Linked DNA regions of Daphnia pulex. The protein of the gene in region 3 interacts with the protein of the main gene of each other region in a pairwise test. Links are inferred from orthologs where the notes say so. Each region holds a gene or a part of one and is shown on either strand. Other genes may lie near its edges.

Region 1 (5,792 bases), about 450 kb from region 3:
GTTGAAGTTTCTCGTTTAGTTTTGAACAATTGAAATGATTTCTAAAAACGCATTGCGATTCTTTAGAAATTCAGAGGCATTAATGGTAGCCGATCAAGAAAAAGATCGAAAAAAGCGGAGAAGGAATCAAGGCAAAGACGAAGATCCTGAATCCCAACCCATTCCGTAAGTTAAAATGATTTTAGAATACGTTTTTTGTTGAGCCCTTTTAATAAAAATAATTATAATAATGATTCACACAGATATCCTGAAATTGATCATCAAGAAATCCAAGAGGAAACAGTGCCAAAGAAAAAGAAGAGGAAAAACAAGGGAAAAGATGAACCGTTTACCCAAGTGAATGATTTTTCTCAGATAACTGAACCAAATCATTCCAAGTAAGTACACATTTTCACTTGAAACTGAGAGCTCTTCTTCAATAGCTCTTTTTTCTTTTCACGTAGGAAAACTAATGAAGTCGCACACAAGAGGAGGAAAGACAATACCGACGATGCTGGAAATGTTTCAGTGGCTTCAGAACATGAACAGCCCAAACCAAAGAAGTTAAAAGCTGAAAAACCTCAAGTGGAAAATGAAATTCCTTTAGCTACCGAACTGGTCAAAGGCAACGAGAATCCTGAAAAAAAGAAGAAGAAAAAGAAGAAGAAGAACTTGTCGGAAATGGCGGTAGCTACGGTTTCGAATCCTCCTGTCATCCCTGAGAAAGCAGTTTCACCAAGCAAGGATTTTAAAATGGAAATCGATTCAACTGGAAAGAAGAGTGAGGTCACTTGCACAGAAAACTCTCCCAAAAAGAAAAAAAAGAAGAAACAAGCTAAGAAATTGTTGGCACAAGAGGAGGATCAGAAGGCCGGATCGTCTTCTGTTAATGAAGGAAAGAAACAGAAGAAAAAGAAGAAGAAAAACAAAAACGCAACTGAAACAACAGCTAATAAGAAATCGGCCACCATTCGTGGTTTTGACATAACTGACGATCGCCTCAAAGCGTACGGCATCCGAAACCCCAAGAAATTCAAGAATGCCATTATATTCGGAAATTTGAAAAAATCAAAAGACTAACGGGGTTGGGACTTGGGAGTCAGATTTTGTCAGTAATTGTATTTGGTTTGATTGAGTGGATATTTCGAACGTTCTATCAATAAAAAGACTCGTGTTCCAATTCTTTGAAAGTTGCGGGTTCAAATAAAAATGTCTTCCAAAGAAAGAAAATGAGAGTATAAATTGATCGATAATGACGCTGCGCTCCTCATCTGATAACCTACAGCCAACGGTCTGTAACACGTGGGTCACTTATCTTTCTCGTCGAATAAAAAAACGCACATGAATTGAAATTGAAGGCCTTCTAAACAAATTTACCCAACAAAATCTTAAAAATTTGCAATGCTACTATAATCTCCATGCGAGAGAAGGAAAAGGGGATGACAAGGTCGACATTAAAAAAAGTTTTCGTGAATAAGTAAAAAATCTTCAATTGTCGCAGCTATTTATGTGCAACAGGTCACATTGGCTTACAATCTTTCGTACATTTCATAGAAAATTAAATTACCAGAGTATGCACAACCTCGCAAAAAAAGTCGTTTAAGTGTTTTTTCCTACCTTCGTAATGGTCACACGTGGGATTTGATGTTATCATGTTGAGGGTCGGCGGTTTGGTCGATTATGGTGTTTTGTCCCCAATTGTTCGGCAATGTTCTTTTCAACTGCTTACGAGATCGATGATTCACAATTCACAATCACAGGAAATGATTATGGCAATAATTATTCAGTCAGAGTTCACAGTCGCGCTATACACACTTTCAAATTCTACTGCCAAATTGTTGAGCATCCGACCTCGTGGGCCGCACGAGAACAACTAAGTTTTTCAAGGACCTTGCTGCCCTTTCAATAGGTAGGGTCATTTGCATATTTTTCTCAATTTGAACGTAAAAAAAAATTTCTTCGATTTTCTCCTTTCCTCCTTTTCTCCTACCTTACCCCGGTCCCCGGCCTTAAGTCCATTAATATTTCAAAACATGCACTCCGATAGACTGTATAAAACAGTATGGCAACATTCGAGTGTTTTGATTTTGAAGAACCGCTTTTAGAAAGGACAAGGAAGGGAGCTAGCGACATCTCGTCACAACAAATTTAAGTTCGTGATTAACCAATTAAAGATTAGAGATGAGAAAATTGGATGAAAATTAACTTGCTGGTTACTCTGGATTCCATTGGGAAATTAGTTTTTAAATAAATTGCTGCACAAACAAGACAAACGTGGGAAGTTAGGAATTTTCGGAAAGAAGTCGACCCAACATAGTTCATGTTCATGCCGCTAGGCTAAGCCCAAACCTACACGCTGTACACTAACTGGCCGAAACTCGTGTTTTCTTTTACACTGTGTACACACACTGCCAGATACTGACTCGTTGGAATAGGTGGAGGAGATAAAATGGCTGAGGAGAATGTCGAATACGGTTGCGAACATTATAAACGAAAATGCAAATTAGTGGTAAGTAGTTCGACACTTTGTTCTTAACCAAGTAATGTTGTAACTCAAGTTGGTCGGGAAATAACTGTGGGCACAATGTCTGAAAAATGACCATGATATCTCCTCGTGAAGATAATGCGGTTTTATAGTAATCCTGTTTAAAGTTGTATTGAGAAGTTAAATACTTAATTATTTATTATTTTACTAAACAATAATTTTGTTTTGTAGACACCATGCTGTGACAAAGTTTATACTTGCCGTTTTTGTCATGATGAGAAGGAGGAACACACCCTTAACCGAAAAAATGTGGATGAAATTATGTGTTCATTGTGTGAAACAAAACAACCAGTTCAACAAAACTGTTCCAATTGTGGTATCCTCTTTGGACAGGTAAAGTATCAGACTTTTTTCTTTTCTTTTTTTTTTCAAAATAAAGAAACCTTGATTTTGTTTTGCAGTATTTTTGTGGAAAGTGCAAGTTGATTGATGATGAAGATAAAAAGCAGTATCACTGTGAAGGATGTGGTAATTATTATTACATTTTAAAACCAATTATATTTAATCTTTGGTGACAACTCCTATATCTTACTTTTTCAGGAATATGTAGAGTCGGAGGAAGGGACAAGTTTTTCCACTGCCAAACATGTGATATGTGCTTACCAAAAAAACTTGAAAATCAGCATAGAGTAAGCATTTTTGTGGGATTCTAATTTATACATAAATTATTTTGGTTTTTAGTTCATTCAATTAGTTATTTTTGCTCTGTTACAGTGCGTTGAAAAGATGAGCCGAACAAATTGCCCAATTTGTTTGGAGGATATTCATACATCAAGAATTCCTTCACACATCCCATCATGTGGTCATCTGATTCACCGAACATGTTTCAATTCATTTATTCATCGTGGTCACTATGCCTGCCCAGTTTGTCAACGTTCAATGATGCCGATGGAATCGGTACTAAAATTTAAATTTATAAAACGAATTATAACGTTACCAATTGTGTTTCCATTCTAGTACTGGCGCATTTTAGACGATGAAATTGCCTCAACCCCAATGCCAGTGGAATATCAAAATTTTTTTGTCACGATTTTATGTAACGACTGCCATCAGGTTAGTCATTTCTCGGCACTAAAGAGTTTTTAAAATGTTATTATAATTAACAATTTTTTTGCAGTTTTCTGAAGTTCCAATGCATCCCCTTGGAGCGAAGTGCCAAAATGCACCATGTGGATCGTACAATACGTGCAGAAGCGGTGGTCCTGTTAATAGACCTGGTAATTATAATTTTATTAATCTAGAGGAACTGCGTACCACAAATCAACTTTTTCTCTTTTTTTTTAAGCAGTCAGAGAACAATCTCCTAACTCGGAATAAATGGCCATGATTATCAAGGGAATAGGATGTTGTTTGTCATTTACTTGGACGGCGGTTTTATTCTGTTGACATGCAATAATTTTATTGGCCATCTACTAAATGGTCGAGTTTGTATTTTAAAGGCTTTTAAATTTTCATCCGTGAATCTTCCACCTTATTCGGCGGTAGGCATCTGGAGCCTGTTCGTGAAATTGGATCGAAAGGTTTTGTGAATTTTTTTCTTATCGTTCAAGTTACTCGTACCCCGTCAGCCATCCTGCTGATGTTTGATACCTGTTTTGTTGCCCTTACCTCGTTGCAGTGGCTAAATTGCCGTCATATTGTAATGCACCGTAGTGAGTAAAAAAAAACATCAGACAAAAACAATGGGTAACATTTAGAAATGACTCCTCGAGTAGTTTGAAAATGGACACTGCCAGAAAAGTTCATATCCGAAATTATGAAGATTCTTCTGTGCAGCTTGTGAGTTTCTTGTAATTTTACATGTCATATTATTACAATTGATTAAGCACTTCTCTTCAATTCTATGTGGAATGTACCTTCTGAACATTTTCAAATAACAATTCTGTATAAATATACGTTGTTACCTTATTCACTGGCCTTAAGCAGTAATTAGATCGTTATTTAATTCTGGATGGCAACAACATACACACGCACACACAAAAAAAAAATTAACAGTGAAGGATTGGGCAAAATGCGTAGGGGATCTTATTAGGAGACCGGTTCAAACGGTTCGGCTATACGGTATACATGTACCAATTGATTATTAGGATCTCCGGGATTGGGTTCTGCCACCAACACTAAACTACCGGGTTCAGCTTGAGCAAACGCGGGATTGGCTTCTGCAAGAGCTGGAGGGACTAGAAAAGATGGAGCCTGGTTAGGAGTTCCAGGAACTTCAACGACGGTTAACCCACCTTGTTCTAAACCAATTTGTCCAAGGGGAGAATTCAGCAAACTGTCGAGTGGAATATTTGAATTTGGAGCAGTAGGGTTAGCATCCTTCGAACAATTTGCTGGTTCCAAAGCATCATTCTCAGTTGGGTTTGCTGGTTGTTCGTCGTCATAATCAAGAGGCTTTACATTCTTTCGTCGCGTTATTTTACCAGATCGGGATCCAATAGCCGTCTTTCGAGCTCTTGTAGACACTCGAGATTCAGTGGCTTTCCCCTTCCGGCCTTTTTTCGCAGGGGGTGCTATCTCTTCTCCAGATTCTTCGTTTGTTGTTTTCTTATCCGACCTGATAGATTCAATTGAAACTACATCCGAATCAGACTCATTCGGATTTGGTTCTTGGATGCTCACTGTTTTCTTACAGTGGAGTGGATTATTTGAAATTGGAGCAGCAGGGTTAGCATTCTTCGAACTATTTGCTTGTTCCACAGCATCTTTTTCTTGACTTTCTGGTTGTTCGTTGTCAGAATCAATAGGCTGAACTTTCTTCTTTTGCGTTCGTGATCCAGTAGCCGTCTTTCGACCTCTTGTAGACACTCGAGATTCGGTGGCTTTCCCTTTCCGGCATTTTTTCGTAGGGGGTGCCATTTCTTCTTCCGATTCTTCGTTTGATGTTTTCTTATAAATGGACCTTATAGATGTAATCGAAACTTCATCCGAATCAGACTCATTTGGAATAGGTTGTTGGACGCTCACTGTTTTGTTCAAAGCCTTTTCTTTTTTATTGTTGCCCTTTGCCTTCCCCTTTGACTCTTTGCCAGTGGTCTTAGATTTACTGGCATCTTTTCTTGATTTATCTTTGATTTCGTTTTCAACGCCGCTTGAATCCTCTTCTATTTGTAAATATACATTTAATGATGAAGACATTATAAATGCAATAACAAGAAAAAAAATTACCTGATGCTTCATCCATAAACTGAGTTATGTCAAAGGGTATCTGTTTCGATATATTTTTGTCAACCAAGGTTGGATTCGTTTTCTCTTCTGACTTGAACTT
Region 2 (5,723 bases), on a different chromosome or scaffold from region 3:
TACGCTCACGCCGGGCAATTTGTTTTAGTGAACCTGACGTACTAAATAAAAATACGTTAGCGTAATTATTCGACGATACCCGTTGGCGCTAGTGTCCATGAGAGAGGGAGAAAACCCTCTCTATACACTCATTGGGGTTGTTTAATTCTCCCTCCGCTAGATGTCAGCATACTTTTTGGGAATATCTTCAAACTTAAAGTCAATATAATTTTACTTAAGCGTAAAAAAGTGTATTTTGTCCCTCCGTAACCTGTAGAATTATGAGAGAAAACGGAGGGACAAAATACACTTTTGTACGCTTAAGTAAAATTGTATTGACTTCAAGTTGTAAACTTGGTAGTCTTCTGAATCAGAAGGTAGATTTCTTAACGACGACTCAAGACAAATTTCTCCTCTTCCACATGGAGCTAGAAAATATGGTGCTTGGTGCAAGGTGCTGGGTTAAGATGCTGCTTATGGCACTAAAAACGTGCCGTACAATATATATATATATAGTGCCCTCTGGTCGCGGCATGGAAGGCTAGAGCCCCCACCCTATCCCCGTTTTGTGTGTATCTGTGGTCCGATTTTCGAGATTTATGGGATGGAAACAAAGTTGCCGTCCGATCAATTGTTTTTTAGTTGATCGCTGACCAACTTTTTCTGAGTTTGGTAGGTCACTCAAACCATAACCTGATAACCATGCTCAAACTCAAAATGAGTCGAGTTTCGCTTAATTTTTCGCGCTTAAATCATCGATCAACGTTTGCCTGGAATTTTTACCTTCCAGTGACATCTAGCGGTCAAACTTTGAAATCGATACACAATTGAAATAATAATTTGCCATTTTTCAATTAATAATATTTAAATTTTTTGTCTAGTTTTTTTTTCTTTTACTGTGTTTTACTGTTTAAACAAGAAAAATTCATAAATAATAATTTCATACAATTTTCGTAGTTTAAAATTTACCGCTTGACAGCGCCTGGAATCGATCGAATAAATTGAGCTTAAGCGAACTCAATTTTTTTTATCGTCGCTTATTTTAAGCTCAAACTCAGACAAAAGATTTGAGCGCCGATTAAAAGTTTGAGTTCGTGCTTAAGCGACGATCAACTCTTAAGTTCGATCGTCGTAAGATAAGTAAGAGTAAAAGTTTTTTTTTTACTATTTTTTCAATCTATTGAGTATTAAACGAACGGCATAAAGCGATACGGACGAGGAATCAAATTTAAGTTCCCTAATATATTCCAAACTGTCTGACTGTCTGTCTATAAGGAATGTGAAGCATTAGAATTGCCTTGCGATTCTGTACGGAATTGTCTCAGAATTCTCAGGTTTCTTTCAGGATTCCTTTTCAAAAAAGGTCTCCAGAAAAGGTTATTTTTGTGTTATCACTTGAAATCGCGGACTGCTTATTGGTAAAAAAAAACCTCAGATAACAAGGCAGTGAGTTATTCACAACATTTGTTTTGGGGCATGTAGTATTTTATAGTATTATAAGAGAAATTGTAAACCTTGATGTTGAAGGTATAAAACTTCGTTTAAGTGAGGAGTTTGGTATAAGCCGTGCTTTCTACAATGATTTCGAAGCCATTTTGCAGTAATTCTAGGATTGGAAAATTATGTTCCATTTAGTTTGGTATTCTATAATATTGTATTTTATCTTACCTTGGAAATATATTTTGTTCATCCTGCGAATCCGTGTAAACATTTCCAACTTTTTCCATGACGATTCTTACGGATTCTTAGGTCTTTCCGTCTCATGTATTTTCTCCCCTTATCGACCAAACTACTCTTCGTATACTTACCAGAAGGTGGCACGCCGCTCGCATTTATGACGTGTCGCTGTCACCAACGTTACGTTTTGAATTGATCACTGAAATAAAAAATTGAATTACTCTTTGCTACAGTACTATTTTTAAAGTAATTGCAATAGGATAACTATGTGGTCATTTTTCAGCCGAGATCCTTCCAAAGAGTTCGGTTATGAAATTCTGGAACAACTTACAGGAACAGAAGAATATATGCTATGGAAACTTCATAAAGGGAAGAAGAAGGTGAATTGACACTGCATAATTATCAAAGTTAAAGTTTGGTTATCTTCATGTTATGGAATTCCTCAGGGTTCTAGTGAGCCAGTATCTGTTTTCATCCTTGATGCTAAAACAAGTGGAAATGACACACAGATAGAACTTGCGAAAGCAGCTCTGAAAAGATTGAAAACACTCAGGCATCCAAACATTCTCACTTACATCGATAGTCTAGAGGTTATTCATTCATTCTTTTATAATAAAAAGATTGCTTACTTATTTTCATTTACTATTTAGACAGAAAAATGTTTGTATTTGGTAACTGAGTATGTTGAGCCCTTGCAGTTTTATTTGAACAGTTGTGCTACTGATTACCCTAAATCTAAACAACAAAAAGAATTATTTATAGCATGGGGACTTTTTCAAGTTGTGGTATGTTTTAAAGTGAAATTAAATAAGGAATGTAACCAAAGATTTTAAGTTCTTAACTATTTCCAGCGAGCCCTAACTTTCTTGAATAATGATGTGAATCTTCAACATAATTCTATCTGCCTTGGAAATATACTTGTAAACACCGCTGGAGGTAAATATCCAAGTTTTGCATGTTACATAATCTAGTTCCTGCATTCTAATTGTATTAACTATAACAGAATGGAAGCTTGGAGGTTTTGAAAATGCAACTCCATCATCTCAAATAAATTCTCTACCAATAAAAATACTACCTTCCTTTGAGAAATATGACCCACCTGAGAAAGTGGATTCATTGAAGCTTAAATTTGCTACCAAATGGTACTTGATTAGATTTTTTTTTTCTATCCTTTAAATATTTCCTTAAATTTTATGTTTGTGAAGGTCAGCCGACATGTGGGGTCTAGGATGCCTTATTTGGGAAGTGTTCAACGGTTCACTCAAATCCTCTTCCTCATTAAAAATTTTGGGCAATGTATGAAATTACATATTGTTGATTTAATTAATGAGTTAAATCATATTACTTTGATTATTTTTAATTAGATTCCAAAACTGTTAACATCAGTTTACTGTGAACTTGTAGGAGCAAATCCCAGTTCTCGCCCTAACCCCAGTGAAGTCCTTGTTATTTGTAGAAAGCCTGGAGGTTACTTCAATAATGATTTGGTTGAATGTCTCCTTTTTTTGGAAGAGATTCAAATTAAGGAAAGTAATGAGAAGACACAGTTTTTCAATAAGCTACCTTTACTGTTGGAAAGTTTTCCAGAGAACTTGGCAAGGTTAATTATACTTAATATATAAAAGACTGACAAAGTATTTTGAGTAACAGTTTTATGTTTACTATCAAACAGACACAAAGTTTTACCTCAACTTATTAATGCATTTGAATTTGGTAATGCTGGAGCAACTATTCTCACTCCTCTGTTTAAGGTGAGCAATATTAAATTAATGTGTTTATGCATACAGTACTTAAATACCTTCTCGTCATGTTTTTTCCCCAGTTAGGTAGCTTATTAACCGAAGAGGAATATCAAAAACGAATTGTTCCTTGTGTAGTCAAATTATTCTCGTCTCCTGACAGAGCAACTCGTGTCCGTTTGTTGCAGCAATTAGAACATTTTTCAGCTCATCTTCTTCCTGTCACTGTGAATGATAACATCTTTCCCCACATTTTGAGCGGATTTACAGACTCGAATCCAGTAATAAGAGAGCACACTGTTAAGGTATTTTATTATAAAATGATTGTTCAGTACTGTTGTATTTATTTTACTTTTATTAATATTGGAATTATCGCAATGCAGTCCATTATATCTTTAGCACCAAAACTGAATTATAATAATCTGAATGTGGAAGTTCTCAAGCACTTCGCGCGATTACAATCTAAAGATGAACAGGTAAATTTCTTCGCAAACAAATGAGGCTACGTGTGTTGAAAATTATTTTTTTTTTTTTTTTTTGCATTTAGGGCGGGATCCGTACCAATACTACAGTGTGCCTTGGAAAAGTCGCCTCTTATTTCCATCCTCAGATAAGGCAGAAAGTTCTGGTATCAGCTTTTACCAGGGCACTGAGGGATCCGTTTCCTCCTGCCCGAGTTGGAGGTAAAATATTCCATTCATTAGAAATAGATTTAGTAAACATAAAATTTTAAATAAAAATTTTTTCAGGCATATTAGCATTTGCAGCCACCCAACAATATTATCTGCTGAACCAAATCTCTAATCAAATTTTACCTGCCCTTTGTGTACTGACGGGTGATCCTGAAAGAGAAGTGCGCGATCAGGCCTTTAAAGTCGTTAAAGGTTTCCTATCAAAATTGGAAAAAGTATCGGAAGATCCTTCTCTTCGAGAATGCATGGGTACTATTAATTATTTATTTATTTTCAATTGCTATAACGGTGATTTTTAATTTTTATTATCTTGTTTAATGTTTTCCTGTAAACAGAGGCTGATGTAAATGCAAACGCTAGCCCAAATGTAACAGATATGGCATCAACATGGGCTGGTTGGGCAGTTAGTGCAGTCACATCAAAGTTCTACAAGTCTCAAAGCAGCCAAATATCTGATCAGTCTCCTGCTCTGCCAGCCAGCACTCAAGGACCAGCTGCTACAAGCAACCCAATAAGTTGTGATACAATTCCTGAAACATCGCATGAATTACGGAGGACTTCTTATACCGAATCCACCGACGAATCCGTGCAATGGGGAGACATGAATGTATTACGAAACGACTTGAATATTTTTGTCCGAGTATTTAACTTATCTACGTTTACGTTTTAGGAGCTTTCACTATCAAGCAAAAACCTTGTGGATGATAAGGGAGATGGCGATGGCGATGGCGATGGGTGGGACGTTCAAGATGATTGGGCGCCAATTGAAACTGTTGAGCAAGATTCCTTTGGCCCAAGCATGACCACCGCGCGTTCTAAAGATTCCGTATTAATGGTAAATGCATATAAAAATTTGTAATTGTACTTCTAAAACTTTTACAATTTTATAGAGAAATCCATTCGGAAGTTAAATTTTCCTAAGACAGTATAATTATTATCTTAGTTTTTTATAGCTTTTTTTTTTAATGATTCCCATTTAAAAAATTAGTAACTAATGGTAACAGGAAGCTGATCGTAAATTATTGTATTGCATGGACATTAGTGGTTAGGTCCTATGTAGATAGGAAAATAACAATGGATCTTTTATGAAGGAAAAATTATGATTTAATGTCTTAGAAGTTAGAAAGTCAAACTGTAAAATAATTTGTAACGTAAATGTGTCTCCCACGTGACTCATTATGAATTTTGCATTTGTCAGGGTACCAAATCTGAAAAAAATGAAAGTGGATGGGAATCGACATGGAACACCAACCAGTGGTCTACTCCAGATAGCAATGGTACGACTTTAAATTTTTAGAGTGCATGCTTGCCCTTTTTTTTTTCTCGTTTCTTTTTTTTTCCCAATCTTAAGACCCTTATTAATTATTTTGTGTTTGTTTTGTTTTAGATAAAGATGAGTCTCGGAAGAAGCGCGAAGAAAAACGTATTCAGAGACAGAAAGAAATCGAAGCCAAACGCAATGCCCGCCAAGGAGCTAGTAGCGGAGGAAGTTCATTAAAGTTAGGTGGCAAAAAAATCTGAAAAGATGAAGTGGTTCTTATTTACTAAGTGATAATCTATAACTGCATCTAAGTGTTGCGTTTCAAAACGATTTGTCAAATTATGAAGATATAAAATGTATGACTTCTACTGTCAA
Region 3 (5,767 bases):
CTAAGTACCAAAAGCTTTGAATGTTCTCCGGTAGAAGGCTCTGATGATGAACAACATTGATGTGATTAAAATTTTGTTTTTATCTGACTTCCTACTAGTTAAATTTTGATTGCAAAATATCTTATATTCCTGTCTGAATATAAAGATGACCAATGTGATGGAAACACCATACGCAGCAGTGCACCCCATCTACTATCAAACCAAACCAATTCGTATCTAAATTGCTGTGAACTCGTGATGGTGTGCGATCAAATGTTATGGTCTGAATGCCTTTTTCAATTTCGTGATATACGTGTAATCTGGTTAGCTAAATTAATATTATACGCAGAACATGCAATCTTTGTCCAGTCAAGAATTCCAGGATGTCTATAAATGGGAAGAAAGAGAAGATGGAGAATTAACAGATTTCAGTACTGAAATGGAAGACGGGGAACTTTCAGATTCCAGTTTCACCAAACTGGACACAAGTCACACAACAGTGGGAAAAGAAGTCATGGAATATACTTGCTTAGTCCCAAAAATTCCCGAAAAGGAAGCAGTGGGTCACTTTATTGGCGGGAATAAAAACAAAGGACGACTGTTTGACTACTATGTTATAATTGACTTTGAAGGAACTTGTGGAGTTCTAAAAAACCCAAGACATATCAAGTAAATTTATAATTTTTTTTCCACCATTCAGAATTATCCACACCAAGTTTTTCTTTTTCAGAGGTGGAATACAAGAAATAATTGAATTCCCTGCCATTTTACTAAATGGTCACAATGGACTCATTGAAGATGAATTCCAATCCTTCTGCAGACCAGTTCTTAACCCTTCATTGACAAATTTTTGTAAAAAATTTACAGGAATCACACAGGTTCGTTATTTTGTAAATGTTCCATTTCCGGCATTTGGAGCCTACAACTGAACAGTTCGTGATTCAAATGTATATTCCATATTTATTTTTGTCCTTGTGTAGGATGCTGTTGACAAAGCTCCTTTATTCAATGAAGTATTTGTCTTATTTGAAGAATGGTTGCAGAAAAACCAAGTTATTGGTTCCAACTATTCATTCGCGGTTGTGACCGATGGACCTGACGACATTCGTCAATTTTTACAGAAGCAGTGTAAGGTGAGTTTTAGTGTAAGTACGATTACATCGTCGTCCTACAGTTAACCACTCACATTTCTTTCGTTTTTTTTTTTTCTTTTCGTTGCTGTTTTGTTGTTTTATTTAGATTTCAGCAATAGATTTTCCAACGTACTGTAAGAACTGGATAAATATTAAGAAAACTTTCGCTCGTTTCTACAAAAATGGCAATATGCAATGTCTGTCCCTAAAAAATATGATTCGGGATATTGGATGTGAATTTCAAGGAAGAGCTCATAGCGGCATAGATGATGCCCGAAATATTGCTTCAATTGTTCAACGTCTTTTGACGGACGGAGCGCGCGTTACGTTCAATGAAAAGTTAGTTGTCAATCGGGCCCAGAAACGTAAAATAAGGCAGAATTCTACAAATACCAACCCAACCACACAAGCTAACCCAGTTAAAAAAAGGAATTTGAAAGTTCAAACTGCCGTAAAGAAGGCAAAGACAAAAAATCCTGCCAAGAAGACGGTTCCTGCCTTAAAAGGTTCAATTACAAAAAATGATGTCAAACATGAGCAAATTAAATCCAAGAAGAACCGGAAAAGAAACGCAAAACGTCCAAACAAGAAGGAACAAGTACATGCCAAGGGTTTAAAAACTGCAGATAATTTAACAAATACCAAACAAATAAGGGAGAAATTAAAACTTGCTGCAAAAAATGTTAGAAATCTTAGGAAAAGGTTGAAATCTGCCCTACATCAGGAAAATATTTGCAGTCCCATTTTACCATAAGGTAACTAGGGCACGGAAATCCAAATAAATAAACATTCGGCTTTTCGCTTATTGTTTTGAACAGGAAAATCCAGATCCCAGCAACAACGAATTTCGTTTTACAAAACTACAGCGCTGCGGTGCGCTACTAACCAACAGGCAAAAGCAACATTTGAACAGTAAATTTTTAGCTATGGTTTCCGTTTTCCAAAAACTGTTCGACCACTTATTCATAAATACATATATAACTTTATATCTTACTTATATAACTTTACCCTTGAGTCCTTTCCTTTATTGCTGTGCAAGTTGATTAAAAATTCTGCATTTTCTTTTGTTGAGATATTGAGTTGGAGTAAAAGCTTTGCATGATCTCCGCTAGAAGGCTCCGATCATGATGTGTCACTCGGAAAAGGTAAATAAACTTTGAAGTAGCAAAACTGAATTATTAAAAAATGGCCACTCCGTGGTCTGGTTTTTCGCTTGAAGATCAGGCAAAAATCAAATCTGAATTGGATATTAAACGTGACGCAAGTAAGCACTTAATTTCTGAGAAATTTTGTATTGATTATATATGTAATGTAAATTGGCTGTAGAGAATGAAACAGACAGTGCCTTGCAGACTGCCGACGAGAACAAGGAAGCAAAATCGATAGTGATGCAGAAAAAAAACAAAGTCAACCCAAAGAAAACATCACATTCTACCATGTCTTCCTGTCACACAAATGATCTCCCTAATGAGGCTATGTTATCAGCTAAACCCAAACAGGTTAAATTTTAATATTTAAGATAAGCCTCAGCAAGCCTCATAGTATAGTATAGCACAAACTATAATTAAAACTAATGTGTTTTCTAGGAAAAGGTGCCTGAATCTCCAGTTCATGTTAAACTAAGAATTTCAGAAGATAAACCTACCTCATTTGAGATCATGGAAGCAGCACCTCTTGAAAATGGCATAATAAATGATCAAGGAAGCGATGAATCACAAAATGCCAGTGATGAAGGGCATGAATCAACTTGTTGCCAGCCTCCAAATTCCACACTCTCTGTGGATTTGCTTCAAAATGGGGGGAAAAAGGATCCTGTTAATCTGGATGAATTTGAAAAGAAACAAAAGCTCATTGAAGAACAAAATCGTCTAAAAAAGCAGATGCTGGCAAAAGCTTTGGCCCTTAGGTTTGTATTTTCAGTTTAAGATTTATATAAAATTATTTCCTTGGCTGATTTTCAGTTGTTTATGCAATATGACAGAAAAATGAAGACTCAAGCTGAAGCACTGAAGATACACCAAATTCAAGAAGAGCTTTCCAAACTTGATGCAAACTTGAGCAATGATGTTTGCATTTTGAGAAGCCATATTGAAATAGCAAGTGTGGAGCTGTCGGAAGCTGAGTAAAAGAATAAGTCGTTAAACACCCATCTACGGTACCGAATAAAACTGTTAGTTTTTTTTTTTTTTTTTTTTTAATCAGGAAACGCTATACGAAGGCTGAACGTGAATTCGTCGAAGCTAAGCAGTTACTCTTCAACAAAAGAGAACGCAAAGATCTATTAACTGAGCATCTCTGTACTATTATTGAGCAAAATGAGATGCGAAAAGCACATCGTCTCACTGACTTGATGATTCAATTAGACGACGAAGATCATCGAGCAGAAACACTACCTGCCGGTAACCGGGTAATGAAACTAGGCTACTATATGCGATTTGAAAACCATGAAGAAAGATTAATGGGTCAAACTTTTTTAGCTCATAGATCCAGTGACGATTGATGAAGTTTGAAATTACGAATCATGCAGCTTTAGGAATCTCTTCACTATGCGTGCCTTACTTAAATTGCCTTTTATTATGAATCATAATCATTCACTAATCATTTCACCTGAATGTTGTTGCTACTTTTTATGACTTTAGGATTTTATTTGATATTTTTAAATATTATTGATTATTGCACATCTCACTTAACCAAAAATACACAACGAACCATTTACAGTATTGGACTCTGAGGTTGAAGCACTCAGTTGTTATTCCAATGTTAAGGGAGAAAATATTGAAAAGAAAAATTCACAGTCTAGAATAAATGCGAGCTGTTTCATTGCAGATCTAGTTCGAGCTTTCCCAGGTATGCGTTATTTATGTATGACCAGTTAACGAGCATACCAAACCAAGTCCACTCATTATTTTATTTTCTCATTTGCGTAGGTACCTTTCTTGGAAACAAACTCAACTTTGAAGTTTAGAATAGTTGGAATGAGGAAATTTAATTCTTGGATGATGGGAATGGGATGCATCTTTAAAGCGTATGGGTATGTTACTTTACTGTTTATTTCTCTGATACCATGGTGACCGATCCTCACCCTGGTCTGGATGTTAAGCGCAGCGTTAGTAACCAAACATGGAAGGCCAAAGCTAATATTTAATTCAAAAGCTCATCGAATATGAAAGATACGATCAAATGGAATCATCGACTATCCTACCTAGTGGTCTTTGTTTTCGATTCTGTTGATGTCCACCAGCTGCTGTGTTTCCTGGGCAACCGACCGAGAATGAGCGGCTATTTAACGGCAGTGCGGGAGCGCAAATTCAACAATCTCGACCTGACGTCCTAGATAAACACACGCAACTAACCCAACTACGGTATTCATACTGCTTGAAATGGACCACAAAGATCATCACCACCAAACTGTAGCTCATGGAAAAAAGGGTCACGAACACACTGATTCGAAGCACCAGGCTGAAGAAAACCAAGCTCCGCGTGCTGGTTTCCAGCTTGGTCAGGTAGAAATGTGTTTTTGATTTTAGAAATTTTTTCCCTTCTTCTATTGAAAATGTTTGTTAAATTGAGTAGACGGCGGCCGGCTTTGGGACCAACAAAACTTCTGAGCTTTCGACTTTCGCCAATACGAAAGACTTCGAGGATTTGGAAGCTGAATCACGCAGCAACAGCGGACACGAGCATGAAGAGCACGGTGAGCACGACCACGAAGATGACAAAGAAGACCACCACGCTAAAAAATAAAACAAAGGCGACCAACTGGTGATCTTCGCAATCATCTTTTGAATCATTTTTGGCTGTATGTGCTAAAATTCATTGAATGTTTATAGTTTTCGAAAAAAATTTGTTTGCTTCTATATATCTCACTTATTTGCCGCTGCTTATTAATCAACCATTGATTTTGCTTATAGTTGTGTTTTAACTGGTCCTATTTAGAAGAATTGCACCCCTTGTTTCATTCATAATCGGAAAATAAATTGGGATTAACTCAGCAATTCCACAGACGAACATATTTATTATTGTCATTTAAGAAATCAAGAAAATGAAAAATTGAAATTGATAGTATCATTGTGGTTAACAATACTTTTCTGAAAAGAACTGGTGCCGTTGCAAGTTGCTTGAGGAAGTTGTGGTAGTTGTCCCTTGAACTGTCGGATTATTGGATCTGCAAATAAAGAAATTCTTCTTCTCTTTTGCTAAATTAAAACGGACAAAGTTCCAACAGCCATTGGTGCTGCCTTGCTTTGGGCCCCGCAAGCCATGGTTTCCGTATAGCTTTTCAATAAAATACGTTGTTTCAGCTTCGGAGTTTTGCTGATCTTTTGTCCATAAAGCTTGATTTTCTTCAAAGTTATCCTGTATGTCACATCCGTTTTCTTCAATGATTTTATTGGCTTTCAAAACAACAGCTTCTCTTGAATCGGAGAAAAACGAAGCCGGCCTTGCGTACATGAATGGCCCTCCAAAAAGAAAAGTCTCGTTTATCCAGATCGAAAGTTGCTGTTCCTCGGCGTTGTTTCTAGCGTTTAAATAGCAGTCAAGTTCCTTTTCTTCCTGATGGCTATCAAATACCAACAGCGAAGTGTTGTGATATTCACAGATTTTTTTAGCATCCTCGTATGTTTCCATTGTTTTATAGAAATGGTAACGATAGC

What was found.
Region 1: the proteins of RAB6-interacting golgin-like (region 3) and RING finger and CHY zinc finger domain-containing protein 1-like interact in a two-hybrid assay, tested with the Homo sapiens proteins (3 studies listed by BioGRID and IntAct). The link is inferred for Daphnia pulex from reciprocal best matches to the Homo sapiens genes GORAB and RCHY1.
Region 2: the proteins of RAB6-interacting golgin-like (region 3) and N-terminal kinase-like protein interact in a two-hybrid assay, tested with the Homo sapiens proteins (2 studies listed by BioGRID and IntAct). The link is inferred for Daphnia pulex from reciprocal best matches to the Homo sapiens genes GORAB and SCYL1.

Annotation. Positions count from the first base shown.
Region 1 is NC_060018.1:4,446,363-4,452,154, forward strand, and holds RING finger and CHY zinc finger domain-containing protein 1-like, read left to right. Parts: upstream 1-2,326; 5' UTR 2,327-2,428; coding exon 2,429-2,488; intron 2,489-2,695; coding exon 2,696-2,857; intron 2,858-2,925; coding exon 2,926-2,992; intron 2,993-3,064; coding exon 3,065-3,153; intron 3,154-3,238; coding exon 3,239-3,421; intron 3,422-3,481; coding exon 3,482-3,577; intron 3,578-3,641; coding exon 3,642-3,741; intron 3,742-3,809; coding exon 3,810-3,841; 3' UTR 3,842-4,432; downstream 4,433-5,792. Other genes in the region: protein KRI1 homolog, read left to right, coding at 67-165, 243-377, 444-1,059; transcription factor TFIIIB component B'' homolog, read right to left, coding at 4,553-5,628, 5,693-5,792. UniProt on the Homo sapiens protein: E3 ubiquitin-protein ligase that mediates ubiquitination of target proteins, including p53/TP53, TP73, HDAC1 and CDKN1B. Mediates ubiquitination and degradation of p53/TP53; preferentially acts on tetrameric p53/TP53.
Region 2 is NC_060028.1:3,727,884-3,733,606, forward strand, and holds the start of N-terminal kinase-like protein, read left to right. Parts: upstream 1-1,782; 5' UTR 1,783-1,922; coding exon 1,923-2,036; intron 2,037-2,102; coding exon 2,103-2,246; intron 2,247-2,306; coding exon 2,307-2,441; intron 2,442-2,507; coding exon 2,508-2,592; intron 2,593-2,659; coding exon 2,660-2,798; intron 2,799-2,861; coding exon 2,862-2,952; intron 2,953-3,020; coding exon 3,021-3,256; intron 3,257-3,328; coding exon 3,329-3,407; intron 3,408-3,478; coding exon 3,479-3,700; intron 3,701-3,778; coding exon 3,779-3,871; intron 3,872-3,942; coding exon 3,943-4,078; intron 4,079-4,144; coding exon 4,145-4,336; intron 4,337-4,422; coding exon 4,423-4,694; intron 4,695-4,757; coding exon 4,758-4,922; intron 4,923-5,285; coding exon 5,286-5,364; intron 5,365-5,474; coding exon 5,475-5,608; 3' UTR 5,609-5,723. Other genes in the region: dynein axonemal assembly factor 1-like, read right to left, coding at 1,494-1,585, 1,648-1,706. UniProt on the Homo sapiens protein: Regulates COPI-mediated retrograde protein traffic at the interface between the Golgi apparatus and the endoplasmic reticulum. Involved in the maintenance of the Golgi apparatus morphology.
Region 3 is NC_060018.1:3,992,594-3,998,360, reverse strand, and holds RAB6-interacting golgin-like, read left to right. Parts: upstream 1-2,216; 5' UTR 2,217-2,297; coding exon 2,298-2,376; intron 2,377-2,438; coding exon 2,439-2,611; intron 2,612-2,698; coding exon 2,699-3,018; intron 3,019-3,093; coding exon 3,094-3,234; intron 3,235-3,314; coding exon 3,315-3,519; intron 3,520-3,589; coding exon 3,590-3,622; 3' UTR 3,623-3,974; intron 3,975-4,039; 3' UTR 4,040-4,143; exon of another isoform or gene 4,144-4,212; 3' UTR 4,213-4,615; intron 4,616-4,685; 3' UTR 4,686-5,107; downstream 5,108-5,767. Other genes in the region: ERI1 exoribonuclease 2-like, read left to right, coding at 258-260, 329-648, 710-857, 960-1,112, 1,219-1,866.